Rattus norvegicus: one gene and its partners. The protein of the gene in region 1 interacts with the protein of each later gene in a biochemical or structural test. Links are inferred from orthologs where the notes say so. Each region holds a gene or a part of one and is shown in the gene's direction. Other genes may lie near its edges.

Region 1 (3,645 bases):
ATTTCCCACAGAAAGGAGAGGGGATCCTTAGAGTATTGGAACAAGCAGGGTATAGTTGATCAGCAAGATGTTAACTGGATAGATAGATGGACAAACAAGTGAAAGATTTTTTTTCACTCAAAACAGAATTACCTACCACTGCCCAAAACTGTCTCCTGTGCTTTCTTTTTTTTTTTTTTTTTTTGGTTCTTTTTTTCGGAGCTGGGGACCGAACCCAGGGCCTTGTGCTTCCTAGGTAAGCGCTCTACCACTGAGCTAAATCCCCAGCCCCTCTCCTGTGCTTTCTGTTGGAGTCTGTACATCTTGCCTTTTAGACTCAATATGAAGACCACGCCTTCTTAGCTAGGACCTATTCATCATGACTCTTTACCCAGAACGATGTGTGTGTGTGTGTGTGTCTGTGTGTCTGTGTGTCTGTGTGTCTGTGTATCTCCTCTCAGTTTGAACCTGCCAGAACCTGCCCATTATGTCATTTCAATTTCAGTTTCGTATGTTGGTCCCTCTCACTGCTGTGGACATTTTCTCATCTATGAAATAGAAGTAGTAGAGGTGGCTTTGTGACGTATTAAGGAAGAAGGACTGTCATAACTGAGTCATAGCAGCCTTAGACAAGATCCTTTCCTTTAGCACCACACACAAAACTGAGTCCTATCTTTCCTCACTTCTAGCCTCTGCATCTGTCCATTTCTTTCAGTGGAATCACTAGGTTCCCTATCATGGCCTCGAGACTCTTACAGCTCTCACTGGCTTCTGCATTTACGTTCTCCCAGGACCTCTGTGGACGCCCAGGAGCCAATATTGTTATTACCCTGGGATAATAGCACTTGGGGGGTGGATATGAGAAGACATTACCTAAGAGTTTTTCACAAGGTCAGCATTGCCCAAGTCCTTGGGTGGACTCAGTAGCTCTTGAGACCTTAGACTTGAGTCTGAAATTGGGTAGATACTAACAGAAGGGCTCTGGTGGGAGATCAGTGAAAATGTAGAAAAAATGGGAGAATTAATGAGAAAATGAAGAAGTTGGTAAGTGAATGGAAGGGTAAACTAATGGAAAAATTATGAGTATAGATTGAGAATTAGAAAAAATGTATGCGATGGGGCTGGAGAGATGGCTCAGTGGTTAAGAAGACTGACTGCGGGGTTGGGGATTTAGCTCAGTGGTAGAGCGCTTGCCTAGCAAGCGCAAGGCCCTGGGTCCCCAGCTCCAAAAAAAGAAAAAAAAAAGAAGACTGACTGCTCTTCCAGAGGTCCTGAGTTCAATTCCAGGCAACCACAACCATCTGTAATGGGATCTGATGCCCTCTTCTGGTGTGTCTGAAGACAGCTACAGTGTACTCATATAAATAAAATAAATAATTCCTTTTAAAAAAAGAAAAACTTATAAGAGAATGAATTGAGTAGCTGTAAAAGCAACTTGTTGAACCAGTCCCTGCAGCTGTAGGTCAAGAGTCCTACACTTGACCCTTCAATTTTCATGTTCTTTTCTGTGCTGGGGATTGGGTTAACACAAGCTAGTTGATCCCTCAATGTTTCTTTTCTCTGCCTCTAGTGTACTCTATTTCTCCATCCACCGCTATGAGCATGGTCGGTTCTGGCCCCACCTTAAGGCTTCTAACTGGTCCACTACAGGCTTTGGCCAAGGCCAAGGATATACCATCAATGTACCTTGGAACCAAGTAAGTTTCTGCTCCCATAAACTGAGCCTAGCCTGCTTTCCCAGAGGCTCCAGAGAGATGACTGACTATTACATCGCGTTTCTGTGTCTGCAGGTGGGGATGCGGGATGCCGACTACATTGCTGCTTTCCTGCACATCCTGCTGCCAGTTGCCTTTGAGGTCCGGGAGATTTGGGGGATTTGGGGTAGGGGTAACACTGAGGGTTGATCCATGAAGGCAGCTGTTCTCACTTAGTTTGACCCCTTCCTCAGTTTCAGCCTCAACTGGTCCTGGTGGCCGCTGGATTTGATGCCCTCCATGGAGACCCCAAGGTAAGGCAGGTTCTCTGGGGTGTTAGGCAGACAAAGGGGGGTACACTGAGCTTCATGTCATTCTTATGTCCCCTTAGGGAGAGATGTCTGCCACTCCAGCAGGATTTGCCCACCTGACCCATTTCCTTATGGGTTTGGCAGGAGGCAAGTTGATTCTGTCTCTGGAGGTGAGTAACTCACCTTTATCTAACCCCGAGATACCAAAGAGCTTGGGGCTTTTGTATTTGTTTATTTCTTGTATATATGTGTGCGTGGGCACACTCTGGTGTGGTCAGAAGACAACATGGAGGGGTTGGTTCTCTCCTTTTACCATGTAGATTCTTTTGGGGGATTGAACTCAGGCTTGGTGGCAAGCCCTCTGATCCTCTGATTCATCTCACTGGCCCACATGAAGGCTTTTTTTTTTTTTTTTGCTTTTTTTTTTCCGGAGCTGGGGACCGAACCCAGGGCCTTGTGCTCGCTAGGCAAGTGCTCTACCGCTGAGCTAAATCCCCAACCCCCACATGAAGGCTTAAGAACAGATCTTTGGGGCCTAGGGGATGGAGTTAAAAGGTAGAATACTTAGCTACTATATTATAAGGGTTCCATTCTCGGGACCACTAAAAACAAGAGCTTTCATGTATGTAAGGAGTTCCTCAGGACTGAAAAGATAGCTCACTTGTTGACAGCACTTGCTCTTGCAGAGGACCTGGGTTTGTTTCCTAGCATGGTGGCTCACAGCTACCCATAACTCCAGTGCCAGGAGATCCCTCAGGCTCAAACATATATACACATATACATATATATTACATGGAGGTAAAAACTTCATAAAGTAAATAATTAACGTGATTTTTTTTTAGGATTTATTTATTTATGTATGTGAGTACACTATAACTGTCTTCAGACACATCAGAAGAGGGCATCAGATCTCATTACAGATGGCTGTGAGCCACCATGTGGTTGCTGGGAATTGAACTCAGGACCTCTGGAAGAGCAGTCAGTGCTCTTAACCACTGAACCATCTCTCCAGCTCCAGCCTGGGATTTTTTTTTTAAAACTGATTTCTTGGTTCAGCCTTACCACTTCATAAACTCTTTGTGCCTCTGCTCCCCTTATGTCAAGTCAGCAACATGATAATAGTAATAATCACTTTCCATTCATTTATCATGAATTAAATGAAGTCATTCTCTAAATTTCTTATTGATTGACATAGGATGCACCCAAATATTGTTACTATTCTCAGTATCTCTCCCTGGTAATATCTGGCCCTCTGCTTGCCTCCCCCAACAACTCCTTCCCTAGGGTGGCTATAACCTCCATGCCTTGGCTAAGGGCGTCAGTGGCTCACTCCACACCCTTCTTGGAGATCCTTGCCCCATGTTGGAGTCCCCTGTTGCACCTTGTGCAAGGTGAGCCTCGGGGGAGCAGGGGAAAGGGAAGCCCTTTCTGCCTGCTGGGAGGGGTAGTTTAGTCATATTTCTGCTTCCTTCATCCCCAGCGCCCAGACTTCTATCTCCTGCACTCTAGAAGCCCTTGAACCCTTCTGGGAAGTCCTTGAGAGATCAGGTAAGTGGTGGATGGCCGTGATCACCATTAGAATGAGCTATTGGAGGGTATTGTCTTTCAGATCTCCTCTTGTTGCCTTGTTGGAAAGGGCTGTGTGAATTTCAGGGCTTTTG
Region 2 (3,645 bases), on another chromosome or scaffold:
AAGAGGGCATCAGATCCCATTACAGGTGGTTGTGAGCTACCATGTGGGTGCTGGGGACTGGATCTGGTCCTCTGCAAGAGCATCCTGTGCTCGTCTCTCTGGCCCTTTTCTGTTTTTGTTTTTGTTTGGTTTTGATTTTGTTTGTTTTCAGCCAACGTCTGTCTCACTTTGTCGCCCTGGGTGGCTTTGAACTCAGTGCGTAATGGATTGGTTGGTTTTAGGTCCTCAGTAATCTGCTTTGGCCTCCTGAGTGCTGGAGACAGGCATGAGCCACCACACTTGGGCTCTCTCGTCCCACCATGTGGGTTCTAGGGATTGAGCTCAGGTTATTCGGCTTAGTGACAAGTGCCTTTGCCTACTGAGCTATCTTGACAGGTCACAACTTACATTCTTAAAGACCATATAATATTTAGTCTGATGCTGGCTCAGTTTTTTTTTTTTTTTTTTTTTGTTCTTTTTTTTTCGGAGCTGGGGACCGAACCCAGGGCCTTGCGCTTCCTAGGTAAGCGCTCTACTACTGAGCTAAACCCCCAGCCCCCTGGCTCAGTTTTTTATGTGTATTCATTTTGTGCTTGTGTATGGATGAGTACATGTGTGGCTGTCAGAGGACTACTTGCAGGAGTTGGTACTGTCCTTATACCATGGATCATGTGGGTCCCAGGGATTGAACTCAGGCTTTCGCACTTTGTGGCAGGCACCCCCAGCCTTCTAACTCACCCTGTTGCTAGTTCTCCATATGGTGCTGTTCTTGTTTCAGATTACTCCAAAGGTTTTGGTGGCAAATACGGAATTGACAAGGACAAGGTGGATAAAAGCGCTGTGGGCTTTGAGTATCAAGGCAAAACAGAGAAGCATGAGTCCCAGAAAGGTACCTGCCACTTTACCTTCCTCTCGCCAGCCCCTCCCAGGATGACAGGTGTGGCCACCGAAGAGAAAAACGGCTGTCATCTGCAGTCGTTTAAATGGTCATCCTAAGGCGGCCGGTCCCGGACTGTGGTTACATGAGAACTCAAACAGTGGCCTCATCTTTGACCCCAAGCCCCAGTGTTGCTTGTAGCAGTGTCCTGTCACGCACGTCTGCCTGTGTGTGATGAGACCTCGCTGCCTTGAGGGCTGCATGCGTTGGTCCTGCCTGTTTAACCACACTCCTAAGATGCGGTGATCTCAAGGAGGGCTCTGTCGGGTGTCACCAGGGACTAGTGAAGTGTGTCTTGTGGCATCTGAAACCCACCTCTTCTTTGTCCTGGCTGTGCAGTAATGCCGGGGTATGGCTTTCTGTTGTGCATGCAGACTATGTAAAAGGCTTTGGAGGAAAGTTTGGTGTGCAGACAGACAGACAGGACAAGTGTGCCCTTGGCTGGGACCATCAGGAGAAGCTGCAGCTGCATGAATCCCAAAAAGGTACCTCTTCTAGCCCCACTCCCTGCTTTCCTCAGGGCCCTCTGGGAAGCTCGTGTTCGTTCCTCAGGGGTTCACATGCTTCATGTTAGCCGTGTTTGTCTGAGTTTTGTTTTCATGGTGTCAAGTTGTCCTGTCTCCCCCAGTTCCAGAAGTCTCTGTAGGTGGCAGGGGGATAAGACAATCCCATCCCATCTCACCCCCTATGCCAGGGCTGTAGCCCCTGGGAGCCTGGTTACTATGGGGCTTTTGTCCTCCGGGTTCCTGCATTCTCCTTTGTAAGGTGGGCCATGGTATGGAAGACAGGCTTCTTTCTGTGGTCCTGGAGATGGAACCAGGGACGATCTGTGCTGGACAGATTCTGTCTCTATCTGAGCCTCCCTCAATTCCTTGCCTACTTCCTTCTAATTAGAGGAGTTTTTCTTGTCACAGTGGGACCCTGTCCCAGGGAAAGCTGGTTTGAGGAGGGTAGAACCCTTATAGCTGTCCCCAGCTGTCCCTCCCGGCAAACCTTGAAGCTTGGAGGAGCTTTAACTAAACTTTACATTTACCGTCCAGTTCCAACCCTTCTTCTGCATCTCAACTGGAGCCTGCTGGCCTCTGAGTTTGTTCCTTAACACCTCGGTCAGTGTTAGAACAGCAGATCAGAGCTCTTGTGTCTGAACATGATGTACTTGACAATCGCACGTGCTCATGTGATTCTAACCTAGCTGTTTCCTCTCTCGGTCATGTTCCTCACTCTCTCACGTGGATCTCCAGACTATAAGACTGGTTTCGGAGGCAAATTTGGTGTTCAGTCCGAGAGGCAGGACTCCTCCGCTGTGGGGTTTGATTACAAGGAGAAATTGGCCAAGCACGAGTCCCAGCAAGGCACAGTTCCCCTGCCTCCTCCTACCAGCCCTTGCAGTGCAGCTGGCTTGCAGCATAGACTTCAGGGTTTACCACAGTGCCTGTGACAGTTCCTGTGCCGCCACTGGCTGCCATGATGTTCTCCACTCAGTTTCATGCCAGAGGAACAACCTGGAGCTCGGTCCCCCCCCCCCCCCCCCCAACCCCACCCATTCTTTTTCCCTCCGACCTTTGGGTTCAGGTTAGGAGGCACTCTGTAGGTAGGCAGTATCTGCAGCCTCTGGCCTCATCGCTGCCGACCCCCAGTGCTGATCTCTGAGCACCTCCTCATTGCCTCTGACCCACAGGGAGTTGATTTACTTCTCCCAGACCTGATGCTAACCACACACTGGGGTCGTGGAGTGTTATAGCCTTGTTTTATGTGCCCCCTGTGTCTTTGTTTACAGTGGTGTGGGGTTTTTCTTGGTGGTGGTGGGTTTTGTTTTGTTTTTATTTTTTGTTTTTGTTTTGTTTTGTTTTGGTTTTTGGTTTTCTTGGTTTTTTTTGGTTTTGCTTTTTGGCCAGGCGTACAAGGTTTTGTGTATGTATTTGTTTTGTTTTGTTTTTTGGCCACACTGTCTGTGTGCTATTTGTCTCCACCCAGAGCCTCACCGTAGTGCACACTGTGTGTGTGGCTGATACAGGCAAGGGGAGGCATGCCCTGGAGATCTCAGTAGCTATTGCTCTTTCTTCTCCTTGAGAGATCAGACCTGGTCCCCAGAGCTGATCTGGTTCTAGAACCCGACAGTGTCCAGGCGGAGGCATGTGACGCCCTGAATCAGCGTGGACTGTAGGCTCCCAGATGCCATCAGGCCCAGGGCGAGTGTACTTAGTGCTGGCCCAGCAGATTGTGTGGAGGTGGCCTTTGGTCCTTGTGATGTCTAGGCTGCATGACCGTCACTTTCATGTGTTTGTGTGTGGCAGCGACAGACAGATTCGTCTGGTGGCATTTCCACACAGAGGTTTTTTTTTGTTTTGTTTTTTTCTTTTAAAAAGCAAGAGAACACACTACGGTGGGGCCTCTAATTAGTGCCCAGTAGAGCAGGCGCCCAGGAAGCAGATGAGAGTAAGGCCTGCTGGTGCGAAGACTGTGCTATAGGAGTGTGCACTGCAAAGGCCTGTCCTGTGTCCTCCCTCCTCCGCTTTCTTCCCGCCGGCCTGCGCCCATCCCCTCCCTGTCCCCATTCCTGGAAGCATGCCCACACCTCCCCTGCTCCCTACCTGCACTGGGCACTGTGGTTAGACAGCTGGCTTTGCCAGGAGAGCCCGTCCTCGGCAGCTTGCCCATCCCTCTGCTCTGGTTTGTGTCCCCGGGCTGTTTGCGGATCCATGCGCATGTGCCTGCGCTGCTCGCCCGGC
Region 3 (4,272 bases), on another chromosome or scaffold:
GTGTCTGAAGACAGCTACAGTGTACTCACATACATGAAATAAATAAATCTTTAAAAAAAATTTTTAGCATTCTTATGGTAACATCTTTGCTTACCTAACCATCTTACTAGCCTCGATCCAGGGTCTTGATTTTGCTGTTTGGCACGCGCACGTGTGTGTGTGTGTGTGTGTGTGTGTGTGTGTGTGTATCTGTGTCTGTGTGTGTCTGTGTGTGTGTCTGTGTGTGTGTAAGAGAGAGAGAGAGAGAGAGAGAGAAACAGATTGTACATTTTAATTGATTTAGTTATCTTTGTTCACAGTTATCACCCTTTCCCTCCTTCTCATATGAAGTGGGCTGGGTTGCATGTCCTCCAGGCAATAACACTGGGTCTCAGAACACACCTGAGCCCACTGCAGGCCTGCCTCTTCACAGGAGCATACCTGACTTCACAGCTTTCTAGTGCTGCCTGCCATCCACCACCCTTCAGACTGCTTCCTCACTATAACACTTAGGATAAGCCCACCACCACCACAGGGGGGCCCAGCAAACGTGGGTACTTCCTACCAAGTCTGACAGCCCAAGTCGGATACCTAGGACCTGCACAGCAGAAGGAATCTGATATCCTCTGATCTCCACACAGGCTCTGTGACATACTCATGCCCCAACACACAAAATTAATAAATGTGGCAAATAAACGAATAAGAAATTATGGAATCTGGGCATTGTGATACAGTCTTTAATCCCAGCACAGGGGAGTTAGTATGCTGAGGCCAGCCTGGTCTACATAGTGGGTTCCAGGACAGCCAGTTCCATGTCAAGAGACCCTCTTAGAAAAAGGAAGAAAGAAAGAAAGGAAGGAAGGAAGGAAGGAAGGAAGGAAGGAAGGAAGGAAGAAACGAAGGAAGGAAGAGAAAAAAAGAAAAAAAAAGAGAGAGAGAAGATGGAAATGTGGCTCAGTGATAGGATTCTTGCCTAACATCCAGAATCTGCATGATGGCTCAGGCCTAAAGGTAGGAGGATGTGGCCAACCTCCACCACATAGAACCTTTGGGGCTGGCCTGGATTAATACTGTCTGCGTAAATGAAACAAAAAGTGAGAGGCAGGTCTCCAAAGTTTAGGGGTGGGTTCCCTCAGCATCACTCAGGGCCACTGGCCCCTGGGGCTGCAGTACTCTCTAGGCAGACTAAAGTACCCTAGTGGCCAAGGCAAGGAAGGAACAGCGTAACTAGGCGGGAAAGCCGGGCGCGCTCTCAGTAGACCACGTGACATCGCGGGCCCGCGCAGGCTCGCCGGGCAGGCGCGGGGGCGGGGCGCGCGGGGGCGGGGGCGGAGCCTGGCGCGCGGCCCCGCGGTGACAGGGCGGCAGGGAGGGGCGGGGCCGCGGGCGGGGCAGCGGGGGGAGGCGGGAGGAGTGGAGATGGCGGCGGCGGCGGCGGCTCCGGGGGGCGGGGGCGGGGAGCCCAGGGGAACTGCTGGGGTCGTCCCGGTGGTCCCCGGGGAGGTGGAGGTGGTGAAGGGGCAGCCATTCGACGTGGGCCCACGCTACACGCAGCTGCAGTACATCGGCGAGGGCGCGTACGGCATGGTCAGGTGAGGGGGTGTCCCAGGAGGGGGCTTCAGAGCGGGGACAGCAGGTGCGTGCCCGGGACATGGGGTCCGGGGAGTGTCGCAGGGGAGGGATCGTGCAGTGACTTCTGGGGGACCAGGAGCTACTTTCTCCGGGAAGGGGGGTTGGAGGCTTGGAAGCCACCTTGTATTGTTAAGGGAGGGGCACCTGGGGGACCCTAGAGATACAGGTGGAGCTAAGAGGATGACTATTCTTGGTGAAGGGGGAGTGAGAGACCCATAAGCAGGTAGTGGGAGCCTTGGTTCCCCCCTGATGAGGTTGTGACAGAGTTTGAGAGAGCAGAGCAAAGCTCAGGGTGGGGCAAACCTTTGCACCCCTGCCCCTGGCCTTGCCAGAGGCCCAAAGTAGGGAGGGGTCTCTAGAATGTGCCTTATTTTGTGGGATACAGGTTTGTGAGTTCTCGCTGCCCCACTCTGTGCTCTGGGCCTTTGTTCCTATGGGAACAGCTCTGACCCAGGAACCTCACCGGGAGACAGACCTACCCCTTCTTATCTCTTCCCCTGTCCCATTACTGAATCCTCTGGGTTTCATCCACTCTCTCCATTTAACTCCCATCCCCTGGACCTGTCTTGGATTGAGAGAGTCCAGCTCAGGAAAGGGGAGGAGGGTGAGGGCAACTACAATGTAAGAGGGTCCAGGAGAAAGGAAGTCAGTGAGTGGCCACTCTCTTCCTCTGTTTGTGAAGTCACTGAAAGGCTGCCTGGCTGGTCCCCAGCTTTCCCCCTGGAGATTCCAGGCCTTCACAGCAGGAAGGAGCCAGCATTGTTTACACTTGGCCAGAACCCTCTCCTGCTCTCTCCGGTCCCTGCCAAGGCCTGGGTGGGGCCACCAGGCCTGGATTCCCCCTTTGTAAGGCCACACATCTCTCTGGCTCTCTCAGCTCAGCATATGACCACGTGCGCAAGACCAGAGTGGCTATCAAGAAGATCAGCCCCTTCGAGCATCAAACCTACTGTCAGCGCACGCTGAGAGAAATCCAGATCTTGCTGCGATTCCGCCATGAGAATGTCATAGGCATCCGAGACATCCTCAGAGCACCCACCCTGGAAGCCATGAGAGATGTGTATCCTTTAGCCACAGCTCCAGAGCGAGGCTAAGGAGCTTGGCTTTGCTTTCTGTTGTCGTCTGTTGTGCCACCCTCAAAAAAAAAAAAAAAAAAAAAAACCAAAAAAAACCAAAAAACTTAAAAACCCAGCAAAGTAACTTTTTAGCTGAGAGTCTACGGAGCAGAAGAGCACCCTGGCAGGCCTTGGATCCTGGTCTGTTGCAGCCAAGTGGAGTGGCCTTGAACACATCCTTTTCTGCTCTGTGCCCCAGTATGGTGTGTGGGGAGGGGAGAATGCTGGGCAAACCATCTCTATGGGAGCTTTGTCTTCTGACATCTGCAGTTCTGTGACATGACCCAGTCTCTGCCCACAGCCCTTTCTTGCTCAACAGACTCACGATTCTTTAGAGACCTCACACTGGATTGAAAGCGAGGAAGAAAACCAGCATTGGGCATGCCTAGCGCTTTGGTTCTAATTCAACCTTTTAGCTTCCCTGTGTGATGAGCTTTACCGCGTCCATTTCTAAGATGAGGAAACTGAGGCTCTGTGTTTTGCTGGGCCTTCTGTGGGGGAGGGGCGATACTTTCTCCAACGTGGAGAGGGTGGAGGCTTTCACACCACCTTGCATTGTTAAGAGGAGGAACCTGAAGACCCTAGACTCACAGGGCGGAGCCACGCCTTTGCACTCCTGGTCTAGCCAGGGGCTCAAGGAAGGACGAGGGGCCCTGAGAGTCTGCCTATAGAAGAAAGCCTAAATTCAGCTGTTCCTGTTTGTTGCTTCCTCTTCTTCCCCAGTTGGCTTTCTTGGAGCCTTCCCACTCTTCTGAGAGCCCCACCCTGATTACCTGCGGCCTTGTACCTTGACCAGGAAAGGTAGTCCAGCCCTTGTTGCCCTTGCTTGACACTGCTTGCCTAGTTCAGACATTTAGTTCATTGTCCACATGTACTTCCTGCTTGGCGCCATTGCTAGTAGACTGTAGCACCCATGGCCTCTTCCCTACCCACCCCTCCCGATCCCAGGATTTGTTCTGCAGCCTCTGCAGCTCTGACCACAGGAAATCGACTACTCCTGTCTTGTTGCATGACCTTCAGCAGGTCTCTGCACCTCCGGACTTCCACATTTGTAAAGCGGCAGGGTTGGTCCATGTGTGTGTATCTGCATATGCTTGTTCTCTCTTCTTCTTTTTGAGAAAGGGTCTCCCTATGTAGACCAGGCTAGCCCTGAACTCATAGAGATCCTGGGTGCCACCAGCCCCAGCTCTCACATGTCTTCTGTGGAAGACAGTTCAGACTTCATTTTTTGAGAAAGTGTCACTGTGTATCCCTGGTTGGCCTCAGGCTAACTCTGTAGACCTGGCTGGCTTTAAACTTCTAGGCAAGCCTCTGGCCTCTGCTTCAAGTGCTGAGATTGTAGGAGTGACGTACTCTGCCCAGCTCCTGATTACTCTTCCAAAGATAAGCCAGATGACATTTGTTTGTGTTTAGTCTTTGTTTTATCTTCAAGTATAAAAGGACTCTCAGTTCTCCACCTTCTGGTGTACGGTCAAGCTCTCTGTAGGAGCACACTGTGGTGGGGAGTGTCTCCTCACTTTCCTGGCACAAATCATCCCCACAAGGC

What was found.
Region 2: the proteins of Hdac6 (region 1) and Cttn form a complex in vitro, tested with the Homo sapiens proteins (3 studies listed by BioGRID and IntAct, with this or other methods). The link is inferred for Rattus norvegicus from reciprocal best matches to the Homo sapiens genes HDAC6 and CTTN.
Region 3: the proteins of Hdac6 (region 1) and Mapk3 form a complex in vitro, tested with the Homo sapiens proteins (2 studies listed by BioGRID, with this or other methods). The link is inferred for Rattus norvegicus from reciprocal best matches to the Homo sapiens genes HDAC6 and MAPK3.

Annotation. Positions count from the first base shown.
Region 1 is NC_086039.1:17,233,042-17,236,686, forward strand, and holds part of Hdac6 (histone deacetylase 6), read left to right. Parts: intron 1-1,549; coding exon 1,550-1,676; intron 1,677-1,769; coding exon 1,770-1,835; intron 1,836-1,927; coding exon 1,928-1,987; intron 1,988-2,064; coding exon 2,065-2,154; intron 2,155-3,268; coding exon 3,269-3,375; intron 3,376-3,464; coding exon 3,465-3,532; intron 3,533-3,645.
Region 2 is NC_086019.1:209,043,940-209,047,584, reverse strand, and holds part of Cttn (src substrate cortactin), read left to right. Parts: intron 1-757; coding exon 758-868; intron 869-1,290; coding exon 1,291-1,401; intron 1,402-2,157; coding exon 2,158-2,268; intron 2,269-3,282; coding exon of another isoform or gene 3,283-3,326; exon of another isoform or gene 3,327-3,469; intron 3,470-3,645.
Region 3 is NC_086019.1:190,795,830-190,800,101, forward strand, and holds the start of Mapk3 (mitogen-activated protein kinase 3), read left to right. Parts: upstream 1-1,364; 5' UTR 1,365-1,398; coding exon 1,399-1,571; intron 1,572-2,488; coding exon 2,489-2,671; intron 2,672-4,272.